3 linked regions of the Ovis aries genome follow. The protein of the gene in region 1 binds, or shares a complex with, the protein of each later gene. Links are inferred from orthologs where the notes say so. Each region holds a gene or a part of one and is shown in the gene's direction. Other genes may lie near its edges.

The links. Proteins that work in one complex are often made in the same cells at the same time.
Region 2: the proteins of TOMM5 (region 1) and PINK1 are in contact, whole or in part, in a cryo-EM structure (PDB 9EII), measured with the Homo sapiens proteins. The link is inferred for Ovis aries from reciprocal best matches to the Homo sapiens genes TOMM5 and PINK1. Residues at the interface, in NP_001001790.1 of Homo sapiens: Met1, Phe2, Arg3, Ile4, Gly6, Leu7, Ala8, Lys10, Leu11, Asp12, Pro13, Glu14, Met16, Lys17, Arg18; in NP_115785.1 of Homo sapiens: Gln484, Ala488, Gln491, Ser495, Lys496, Pro498, Val502, Lys520, Leu522, Lys523, Leu524, Met527, Glu565, Cys568, Gln569, Ala571, Leu572, Leu573, Cys575, Ser576, Trp577, Ala579, Ala580.
Region 3: the proteins of TOMM5 (region 1) and VDAC2 are in contact, whole or in part, in a cryo-EM structure (PDB 9EII), measured with the Homo sapiens proteins. The link is inferred for Ovis aries from reciprocal best matches to the Homo sapiens genes TOMM5 and VDAC2. Residues at the interface, in NP_001001790.1 of Homo sapiens: Ile25, Arg29, Leu32, Ile33, Ala36, Arg39, Val40, Phe43, Ile44, Lys47; in NP_001171752.1 of Homo sapiens: Val38, Thr60, Gly63, Asp239, Tyr258, Gln260, Thr261, Leu262, Leu268, Leu270, Val286, Leu288.

The regions. Positions count from the first base shown.
Region 1 is NC_056055.1:51,176,011-51,180,290, forward strand, and holds the start of TOMM5 (mitochondrial import receptor subunit TOM5 homolog), read left to right. Parts: upstream 1-1,469; 5' UTR 1,470-1,552; coding exon 1,553-1,673; intron 1,674-4,280.
Region 2 is NC_056055.1:245,716,918-245,720,432, reverse strand, and holds part of PINK1 (serine/threonine-protein kinase PINK1, mitochondrial), read left to right. Parts: intron 1-720; coding exon 721-848; intron 849-1,184; coding exon 1,185-1,421; intron 1,422-2,337; coding exon 2,338-2,604; 3' UTR 2,605-3,515. UniProt on the Homo sapiens protein: Serine/threonine-protein kinase which acts as a sensor of mitochondrial damage and protects against mitochondrial dysfunction during cellular stress.
Region 3 is NC_056078.1:30,190,363-30,193,877, forward strand, and holds part of VDAC2 (voltage-dependent anion-selective channel protein 2), read left to right. Parts: intron 1-2,944; coding exon 2,945-3,097; intron 3,098-3,189; coding exon 3,190-3,242; intron 3,243-3,515. UniProt on the Homo sapiens protein: Non-selective voltage-gated ion channel that mediates the transport of anions and cations through the mitochondrion outer membrane and plasma membrane.

The DNA.
Region 1 (4,280 bases):
TCTGAAGGCTATGTCTCCAGTCTTCCGGTTCAAGCTCTTTCCACAGCACCTGCTACTTTCCAGCATCACTGCAGGCTTTCTAAACACTCTCAAAGGGTGAGGTGGAGCTCTTCCTTGGGAGTCAGCCCCTCCCATTTCAGAGCTGCCTCTGCTCTTCCATTGCATGAATTATAGATGCAAGAAATTACTAAAGCCTAAATAGGCAGATGAGTTCCCTTTCTCGACCCATTCTGTCAATCAGGAAGGTGGTCGGTCGGCAACACTTAGAGTTATCAGTTCCTCCGATAGTTAAATTCTTGTTCTAATTCATCTAAAATCCACTGTCACTATGCATTGTGCATAGCACACTGAAGAAGGAGCATTCTGGTTTTGAAATATGTGACCAGTTCAGTCATCTGGTTCGTGTCTAAGAATTATATATATGGCTGATTGGCGTGCATAATTTGGGGCAGCATCCTTCTAACAACTGTTTGATGATTCTTCGACAGGAAATCTGGCTGCATTAAATTCCTTCCTTCTGGCCCCAGAGATGTCCATCTAAGCAGCTAATGGCTAATACGACTAACAGAGGAACAACAGAGTTCACAGGAAAGAGAATTCAACTTGACATTATAATTATTTGCATTAGAACCTTGTCTCTGTCCATCACCAGCAGACCGACTTTAATACTGGTGGTTTCTAAGCCTCTCCCGTAATCTGTAAATCTGTAAGATGTTGAACAGATATAAACTTGATTCATATATAAGTTATTATTGGTCCAATACTATACTTTGACAATACTATCAAATTATGGTATTGGACCAATACCATAATTTGATGATCGGTTAACTCCAGAAATGAGAAGACAACAATAATATGGAAAATGTTAAACACTCTGTGTCTGGGATCCTACCAGTCTAACTAGGTGTAAAACCCTGCTCAGCAACTAATCAGTTGTGTAATCTTGAGCAAGTTTCATCATTTTTATCTTTTATTTATCATTAAAAAGTTCAAAAATACTCAAAATAGAAGGCCGGGATTAACTAAAGTGATACACTATCACCAGCTTAAGTAATTTTCAGTATTTTGCTAATATCCTTTCATCTCTCCCAACACTTCCCCCGCTCCGAGGTATTTTAAAACACATTTGGGCAAGCTGTTGTTTTAAAGATCTCTGTGCGTCAGTTTTCTCATCTAGGAAATGAAGATTATAACATCAAATTCATGGGGTAGCACTGTACTGAGTATTCCGTACTATTACTATTTATGATGGTACCTATGCACACCTCCTCCCCCTTCAGCTACGCGCACCCGGTTCAGGACAGAGGTTGTTAAACAAAAGGCCTGGAAGAACAGGAGTCCTGCGTCGCTAAGACTGCGAGCACCCTCTTCAGGCCACCCTCCTTCAGAACAGCTCAATTTAAGGAGGAAGTTTGTCCTTCGCAGGCTCTCGTCGCCACGCGTAAAAATGAGGGGCGGGAACAGGAAATGGGTTGGGCCGAATTCCGGGCGCCGGGAGGCTGCGGAGAAGATCCGAGAGGTTGGCAGCTGGGAGCCGTTAGCGAGAGCTGAGATGTTCCGGATCGAAGGCCTTGCGCCGAAGCTGGACCCAGAGGAGATGAAACGGAAGATGCGCGAGGATGTGATCTCCTCCATACGGAACTTCCTCATCTATGTGGCCCTGTTGCGAGTCAGTAAGTACCCTCCGGGCTGTGGCCGCGAGACGCAGGGAGCTCGCCGCCACCTGCCCACCCGGCTCTGGTCCCACCGGCCTTGTGGGGGCCTTGGAGCAAGAGCTAAGCAGTTGTGAGGAACAAGAGCTGTGCACGCTGAGGGCGGCGGGCGCAAGCGGGCAAGGCTTAGGATTTACGGGTCAGGGTGGGGGTACCAAGTGCACGCGGCGAGCCGGACCACGAGGTTAATCACTCAGCCCCTCCTTAAGGACGATTGAGTTGAAAGAGCCTCTAAGGTTTGCGGGTGCGATCCCTGGGGTCGCGAAGATCCCTTGGAGAAGGATATGGGAACCCACTCCAGTATTCTTGCCTGGGAAGTCACATGGACAGAGAGCTAAAGTATATGGGGTCGCAAAGAGTCGGATGAGACTTGGCAACTAAACAAAACTAACTTAATCCCCAGGAGCAAGCCCCTCGTTTTGCAAACAGAAAAGCTGGTATCTAGAGTGGAGCAATAGCTGGCTCAAGGTCATTCAGCGATTCAGTGAATGATCTTGACCTAGAATCGAGAGTTCTTAACTGACTGCCAAGTTTCCTTCCATTAGTGCTAACCTTTAAAATCTAGATTTTGTTCCTTTTATTTGTAAAGAGAGTGAAATAGGTGATTACTTTTTCTTTTTTTTTTTTTTAGAAGAAGAAAGGATCGATAGAGTTAATGGTAATACCTGAACATTTATTTGATTTTTACGTTTGGTAGAAAATATTTGCATTGCCTGATTTTGGCCTAAGTCTCTGTATATCCTCTTTGCAAATAAGAACTCCATTTTCAGAAGGGACTTTCGCCAAGTAGTAGAATTATAGGCACACAGTACTGGAGCTAGATACAGTTTTATAGATCAGTGCTCTGGTTTTACTGATAGGAATCTCAGAAGTGAATTGCCCCTGTTGCTAGATTTCTAGTTCAGTATACTTTTTCATTGTTCCTTGTTCTGTATTATTGATAGGTCTGGATAGAGAGGAAGAGTTGATTCAGATAAATGGCGACCATACCACGGTCATCTTGTGTAAGGCTCATGTTAGGCCTAAGGCCAGAGTTCTTGAGGTCGGGTCTCTTTTACTCTGTCCTTCACTGTGTGTGGTGTTACTCTGCTTCCCCAGGAGAGGGAGCCCTTGGAAAACGGAAACTACCGTCATTTTGCTCCTTCAACAGCTTGCAACTCTCAACTTGACTAATTTCCTCCTCTTGCCTTTTTTTTTGGTTGACTTAGTTGCCAGTGAAACATTTGCTGCTTTTCAATGACCTTTGTGTTTGAGACGAATCAGTTTAAAAACAAAACAAAAGAGAATACTGATCCTTGAAAGTGACAGTGAAGTCGCTCAGTCGTGTCCGACTCTTTGTGAGCCCACCAGGCTCCTGCGTTCATGGGATTCTCCAGGCAAGAATACTGGAGTGGGTTGCCATTTCCTTCTCCAGGGGATCTTCCCAACCTAGGGATTGAACCCAGGTCTCCCGCATTGCAGGCAGACACTTTAACCTCTGAGCCCCGAGGGAAGCCTTACCACTTTTTAAATTGAGATGTAATTTGCATGTTATCCACTTAACCCATTTAAAGTATACAGTTCATTGGTTCTTTGTGTAGTCAAGAGTTGTGCAACCATCACCACAATCTATTTTAAAACATTTTCTTCCCTTCTGAAAGAAACACCATGCCCATTAGGTGTCATTCTCCCATTTTCCCCCTTCCCTAGCCCCTGGCAACCACTAAGGGACTTTTTGTCTTTAGAGGTTTCCCTATTCCAGATACTTTTTATAAATGGAACTGTACAGTATATGACCATGTCTAGCATAATGTTTTCAAGGTTTGTCCATACTGTAGCATGTATCAGTATTTCCTTTTTATTGCCAAATACTATTCCATTGTATGGATATACCACAGTTGATCCATTCTTTGGATGACTGTTACTTTTTTTTCTGATAAGAATTGGGGTTTTAAGTATTTAATGTATTAAATGCATTAATAATATTGTGTAATCATCACCACCATCTCCGGAACACTTTTTCTTTCGTAAAACTGGACTCTATAGCTGTTACACAGTAATTCCCCATTCCTTGCTCCTCCTAGCTGCTGGCAGCACCCCTCATCCCTTTTTTTTTTTTTAAGGAACCACTATACTGTGTTCCATAGCAGCAATACCATTTTTATACTCTTAGCAACAGGGTACAAGAGTACCATTTTCCCACATCCTTGCCAAGTTTTTTGACAGTAGCCATCCTCGTGGGTGTGAAGTGATATCTCACTGTAGTTTTGTTTTGCATTTCTCTAATGATTAATGATGCTGAGCATCTTTTCCCATGCTTATTTTGGCCACAGCACTGTTACACAAGACAAAAATATCACTTCTTTAGATCCCTATGACAGCACTTCCTTGTGTGCTAGACATTTCTATCTACACCACTCTACTCATAATAACTGAAATAGGACTGTATCAGATGTGAACTGAAGCACACAAATAATATATGACTAATCAGTGGGGGAACGAACATATGTGTCTAGCTTTCTGGATCCCTACTTCAGTGTTTTCCCCCACTCTCTGCCTTTCAAATGTGTTTTTTTTTTAGTGAGAAAT
Region 2 (3,515 bases), about 190 Mb from region 1:
GAATGTTGAGTTTTAAGGTAGCTTTTTCACTCTCTTCCTTCATCAAAAGGCTCTTTAGTTCTTCTTCACTTTCTGCCATAAGGGTGGTGTCATCTGCTTATCTGAGGTTATTGATATTTCTCCCGGCAGTCTTGATTCCAGCTTGTGTTTCTTCCAGTCCAGCGTTTCTCATGATGTACTCTGCATATAAGTTAAATAAGCAGGGTGATAATATATAGCCTTGATGTACTCCTCTCCCAATTTTGAATCACTCTGTTGTTCCATGTCTGGTTCTCGCTGTTGCTTCTTGACCTGCATACAGGTTTCTCAGGAGGCAGGTCAGGTGGTCTGGTATTCCCATTCTTCTATGGAAGAATTTTCCAGTTTGTTGTGGTCCGCACAGTCAAAGGCTTTAGTGTAGTCAGTGAAGCGGAAGTAGATGTTTTTCTGGAATCCTCTTGCTTTCTTGATGATCCAACAGATGTTGGCAGTTTGACCTCTGGTTCCTCTGCCTTTTCTAAATCCAGCTTGAACATCTGGGGGTTCTCAGTTCACTTGCTATTGGAACCTGGCTTGGAGAATTTTGGCATTACGTTGCTAGCATGTGAGATGAGTGCAGCTGTGCAGTAGTCTGTTCCTGGGTCAGCGTGTCCTGAGGGTGGCTTTAGTGGAGGTATCAGAGGGCCTCGAGGTGCAGGGAGGAGAGGAGACGGCCTCTCACGTCTGCATGTCTCCCCACAGACGGCTGCCCCTGGTTGGTGATCACAGACTTTGGCTGCTGCTTGGCTGATGAGCGCGTCGGCCTGCAGTTGCCTTTCACCAGCTGGTACGTGGACCGCGGCGGAAATGGCTGCCTGATGGCTCCTGAGGTGAGTCCCACTGAGCGTGTCACGTGCCACCAGCAGAGCCTCTCCCACCAGGTCTCCTCTCTGTTTACTCAACCCTTTCATCTTTTCTGACCCGTAATTTGTCAGAAGTCCTCTCCCTGCCTCTCCGCCTGGAACTGAAGTCCCAGGAGAGATGCGTTTTGCCAGCCTGAAGTGGGCAGCCTGAGCACACTGGCTTGGACCTGAGCTACAGCTCGTTCCAGTTCTGGGTTCCTTGGGACAGAGTCCAGGCTAGTGCATGAATCGGGGGCCGTGCAGGAGCACAAACAGGTTTCAAGTGCCAGCAGTGTGACTGTTCACTTGTTGCTTTCCGAGCAGGTGTCCACGGCCTGCCCTGGCCCCAGGGCAGTGATCGACTACAGCAAGGCGGATGCCTGGGCGGTGGGCGCACTCGCCTATGAAATCTTTGGGCTCCCCAATCCCTTTTATGGCCAGGGCAGGGCCCACCTTGAAAGCCGCAGTTACCAGGAGGCTCAGCTGCCAGCACTGCCCGAGTGGGTGCCGTGGGACGTGAGGTGCCTGGTGAGGTCGCTGCTGCAGCGGGAGGCTTGCAAGGTGAGGCAGTTCAGGCTTACAGGGGGCGTGTGGATGGGAACCTCAGGTCGTGTTCTAGAGTAAAGGGCAGGGCTGGGCAGGCACCGGAGTGAAAAACGGCTCCTCTATCTTACAGAGGTGATAGCCACATACAGAACACACAACAGGCTGGAATATAGATAGGAGCAGGGGAGCTGGCCACCAAGTTTGGAGTCAGGATTCCAGCAGTCAACTCCTCTTGGCTTTAGTTGCTTAAAGTTACTCAGAGGGAAACAGATGCAGTTTTAAGATATGTTTAATGAAGATATAGAATCAGCTGAGATCTAACCAGATAGATAGGATGAACTCTTCTAAGAGATCTGGACATTTTGAAATTACTCCAAAGGCTAACACATTTGAAACCTTAAAAGGAGTGGCAGGGCCAGTGCAGGTGGCATGTGGAGTGGAAAAGCACGGGCAGACCAGGGCCCACAGGCCCGCCCTACCGCTTGCCCCTCACCACGGGCAGCAGGCTGTCACATGTGTGCACTGCCGTCATGAAGTTAGGACAACTCCCCTCACCCTAGACAGTCCAGTGGTGGCCTCCCAAGATTCCGATGCAGGGGACACAGGTTCGATCCCTGGTTGGGCAACTAAGATCACATATGCCATGCTGCATGGCGAAAAAAACCTTAATTTAAAAAAAGGCCCAGGATGGGGAGGCTATTCCAACAATGTCCTCTACCCATACTCCACCCCACCCCAAATTCGTACCCATGGGAAAGCCTGGGGCGTGGGTAGAATCGGCCAGTGTGTGTGCAGAGTACTGCAGGAGGGAGGGTGAAGAGCATGCTCAGGGCCAGAGAAGGGAAGACCCTGAAACAGGCTGCACTGAAAGCGGGCTGTGGGTGAAGACCGTCACAGGTGCTCTCAGCTCCGGCTCCCCTTCCTGTTGCAGAGGCCATCCGCCCGAGTGGCTGCTAACGTGCTTCACTTAAGCCTCTGGGGTGAACACACGCTCGCCCTGAAGAACCTGAAACCAGACGAGATGATTGGCTGGCTCCTCCAACAATCGGCCGCCACTCTGCTGGCCAACAGACTGACGGAGAACTGTGTGGAAACGAAAATGAAGATGCTGTTTCTGGCCAACCTGGAGTATGAAGCGCTGAGCCAGGCGGCCCTCCTCCTCGACTCCTGGAGGGCGGCCCCGAGACAGCTGCTGTAGCTGGTGAATTACTAAAAGAACTTTCCAGTATCTGTGTCGTGATGGTCTGTGAATGCTGAGCAAGTGCCTCCTAGGTGAGGGGATGGGGGAGTCAGGAGGAAAGATGGCACAGGGAGGGCGAGTCAGCAAAGAGAAGGCCTCAGGTTTGGGAGATGGAAGGAGCAGCTCGAGGTCACGGTCTAATCACTAACTCGCTCTAGCTGTGTGATTTTGCCTAGCTGTGTGATTCTGATGCATCATCCAAGTTCTCTTACCTGTGAAATGAAGACACTGCTCTCAATAGAGGTCAGCAAACTTTGGCTAGTGCTCAGGCTTTCGCAGCTACTCAGCTCTGCCATCATGGCGCAAAGACAGCCTTCAATGTGTGAACAAGTTCAGCTTCACTTAGGGACCCTGAGATTTGGAATTTCGTGTGTCACTACATATTCTTAATTTTTTCAACCACTTAAAAGGTAAAAACCATTTTTTAGCTTGCAGGCCTGCAAAAATCAGGCAGCAAGCCAGACCGGCCCACAGACCAAGTTTGCCAACCCCCGGTCTAACTGACCGCAAAGGGCCTAACCCTCAAGAGAAATGCTAGCCAGTTACCAGGCTCCTTTGTGCATCAGCACTGCCCACGTGATGCCCTGGGCACACAGATCCAAAGGATGAGCTCTGTCCTAGGCGAGAGGCTGCTCAGGCATAAACCACTGACCAGAGTCCTGTCCTCCTCGACCTCTGAAAAGTCAGTGGCCGAGCGGCTCTGTTAGGTGAGGCTGAGCTGAGGAAGGTCAGACCTGTGCTGTGGCCAGAGTTCACGCAGGTCAGGACAGTCAGGTGTCAGAGTGAACAGCACGTGAGTGAGGCCCGAGACGGGAGCCGCTGCAGTCAGTCATCTGTCCCAGAGCAGCCCTGGGTGCTGGTGACAAGCA
Region 3 (3,515 bases), on another chromosome or scaffold:
CTGGGTTTGATCCCTGGTCAGGGAACTAGATCCCACATGCTACAATTAAAGGATTCCACATGCTGTAACCAAAAAAAGGGTCTTGTATGCTGCAGCTGAGACCCAACACAGGCAAATGAATAGATAAATAAATATCTTTTGAAAAAAGGAAAAATACTTAAGAGTCCTGGGCATAAACATACTCAATAACTCTTAATTTGAGTGTACTAATTATTTATATAATGGTCATAATCTAGCAGCCCTCCTTGGGGGGAAATTTCCACTTGTATTTTGTGAATTTAGAGAGTCTTAAATTTGAGTATTTTTAAAGAGGTTAATATTTTTATATTTGGATGTCTTGATTCTACCTAACAAACTCCCTCAAAGAGAGTAAAGTAAAACTATATTTTTTGTAATTTTTTTTCCTCCTAAAAATTTTTTTAGATTCTTTAGGGGATGGGTATAGTGTGTGCATATTGAATGTTATTATTTTGATAAATTATTTCTATAGTTAACTCCCTTAGTATATTTAGTGCACTTAGTGCAATTGGTATTTACTTAAATTAATAATTTTGTAGTTTCTTAATGCCTAGATTTGGATTTCTTGGGTTTTATATTGGTCACATCTGTTTGGTTTCTTTGGTCAGAAAGGAGGCCTGAGTATTCAGTGTGGGTGAGTGACTTACTAGCCCAGGGTAACAGGTTACAGAGAGCAGTGACTTGGTGTTTGTTTGTGTTCACTCTTCTGACTTGTTGGCCCCTTTTAAATAAGTTGCTGAAACACAAAGCCCTTCTTAAAAAAAGTAGAAGATTCAGTTCTAGTGTTTAAGATTTTACTTGCTGGCTGAAGGGACAAAATCAGCTTTAAACTGGGGAATAATCAGAGCAGTATATCTAGTACTAGATTGTTTGATAAATCAAAATCTTTGTTTGAAAGGAAAGGTTTACTGTGGACAGGAATGTATTTTATATTGTTTTCATAATGCATTCCTTTTGTGTTCAGTTCAGTCATTCAATCGTGTCTGACTCTTTGCGACCCCATGAACTGCAGCACGCCAGGCCTCCCTGTCCATCACCAACTCCCGGAGTTCACCCAAACCCATGTCCATTGAGTTGGTGATGCCGTCCAACCATCTCATCCTCTGTTGCCCCCTTCTTCTCTTGCCCTCAATCTTTCCCAGCATCAGGGTCTTTTCAAATGAGTCAGCTCTTCACATCAGCTTCAACATCAGTCCTTCCAATGAACACCCAGGACTGATCTCCTTTAAGATGGACTGGTTGGATCTTCTGCAGTCCAAGGGGCTCTCAAGAGTCTTCTCCAACACCACAGTTCAAATGCATCAATTCTTCTGCATTCAGCTTTCTTTAGAGTCCAACTCTCACATCCATACATGACCACTGGAAAAACCATAACCTTGACTAGATGGACCTTTGTTGGCAAAGTAATGTCTCTGCTTTTTAATATGGTTTTTAATATCCTTTTGTGTAGAGCACGTGAATATATGCAAAACTTTGACAAAATCAGACCTATTTAATCCTCCAGAGATAGGAGGCTTAAACTTTTTAAAGTTGCGATAACTGAGACCCGGAAAAGTGTCTTCCTTAGTGTTACTCATTTAGTAAATGCCAGCCAGAACTTGATATCAGGACTCCTAATTTTATATCCAGTGTTATTTGCTAACACAATCTGGTGCTTTTTACTATGGGCATTGAGCGCCGAGTTTTGACTCAGTTTCTATTGATGAAAGCATCTAATTTCAGGAGACAATGTGTAAGACTCTTATATAGTATATATGACCTGAAGAATTGAGTCTGTGTCACTGCAGAGCAGCAGTTACACAAATGATGTTTTGTAAGTGAAAGATGATTGGTCTTTTCTCCAATGGATACAGCTTTGGATATTTCCGCATTCTGCAAGTATCACAATTTCAGGTTGAAATTCTCTTCTTATCTCTAAAAAGTTCATATCAGCCGTTTTTAAATTTGGCTTTCCCATATAGAGTATAACATTGGTAGTCAAATTAGAACCCTCAAGGCATTTTAATATTTTATGTTCGAAGAGTTCAACTGCTTGCCTGTATACTAAGCTCATAAAGATTAGATTTCTGGATTATCTGTAGCAGATTTTAAATTTCAGATAAGCTCTTTCCATATTATATCTTCCTTTTCAGTTGGTGTACAGTTAGGGATTGGCAAGTTATTTATATTTGCTACAAACAGAAGATTATATGATATATCTCAAATCAGTCACTGCACAGATTTTTCTCCAGTGATCATCTGTTCTACAGAGTATAGTTTATATTATAGATGATATGAACCAGTTAAAGGGAATTTCCTTCCACCAATTTTTTTTTTTTTGGAAAATGTGAAAGGTGATTGGAAAGGCATAGAACCTGATGAAGACTGTGGCAGAAAAACAGAATATTGAGGTTACCAAAGAATTAAAAACTTTGTGTCATAGATTCTTTCAGTGGAGTGCTTTCCTTTTAGGGAATTTCAGGGACCATTTCATAGTAAATTGTGTGTAAACTGATTTTAATGGAGGGAGTGTATGATTAGCCATGCTGACCTAGTTAGTGTTTTCATTGACTATCTGGTAGATTGGAAGCAGTTCTAAAATACCCATTCACTATCCCTCTCCCCCCACTGATTTTTTTTTTTTAACTCAGGATCACTTTAGCAGGAATTTCCTTAAAAACTTTATAGTTTGTTGTTCACTTGAGAATCATATTCAAGTAACTTTTGATCTGTTGGTTGAAAATGTCAGCAGTAACAAGATGGTAGTAATTAACAAGCTAGTTTGTCACTCTTGTATTTACTCAGTAGCAGAGGGTTAGGAGTGTTTGGGAAGCTAGAAAAAGGGATTAGTGAATTACTAAGGGTTTCAGTGGGGTTTGTGTAAGTTAGAAAGTGTATCATTGCAGGCTTACGAGAAAGTTTCTGAACTTTTTTATTGTCTTGTTAGGAATTCTCGACATCTGGTTCATCTAATACAGACACTGGTAAAGTTACTGGGACCTTGGAGACCAAATATAAATGGTGTGAGTATGGTCTGACTTTCACAGAAAAGTGGAACACTGATAACACTCTGGGAACAGAAATCGCTATTGAAGACCAGGTAACATTTTGAAAATGTGGTTTAGTATTATTTTATTTTTGTGTTTCAAAAAGGAAATAAACTGAAAAAAAATTCTTTTTCTCTTGAAATAGATTTGCCAAGGTTTGAAACTGACATTTGATACCACCTTTTCACCAAACACAGGGTAAGCATGGGCATTTTTATCTGCTTTAAGTTTAAAGCTTTCTTCAGTGTATTTAAGGAAAGGTACACATTCAGGTGCTATGTGTTGGCAAGTTTCTGTTTCTGCCTTTGGAGCATGAGCAGTATGGTTCTTGGCTTGCCTTCAGCTATTTGCCTTTTATCACTGTGCCACTAACTTGGAATGAACATTTTTTTAAATAGGTTTTTGTGACTGATAGCAACTCTGCAAAGCATTCTTCCTATAGTAGTGGCAATCTAGTCACCCCAAGTGCCT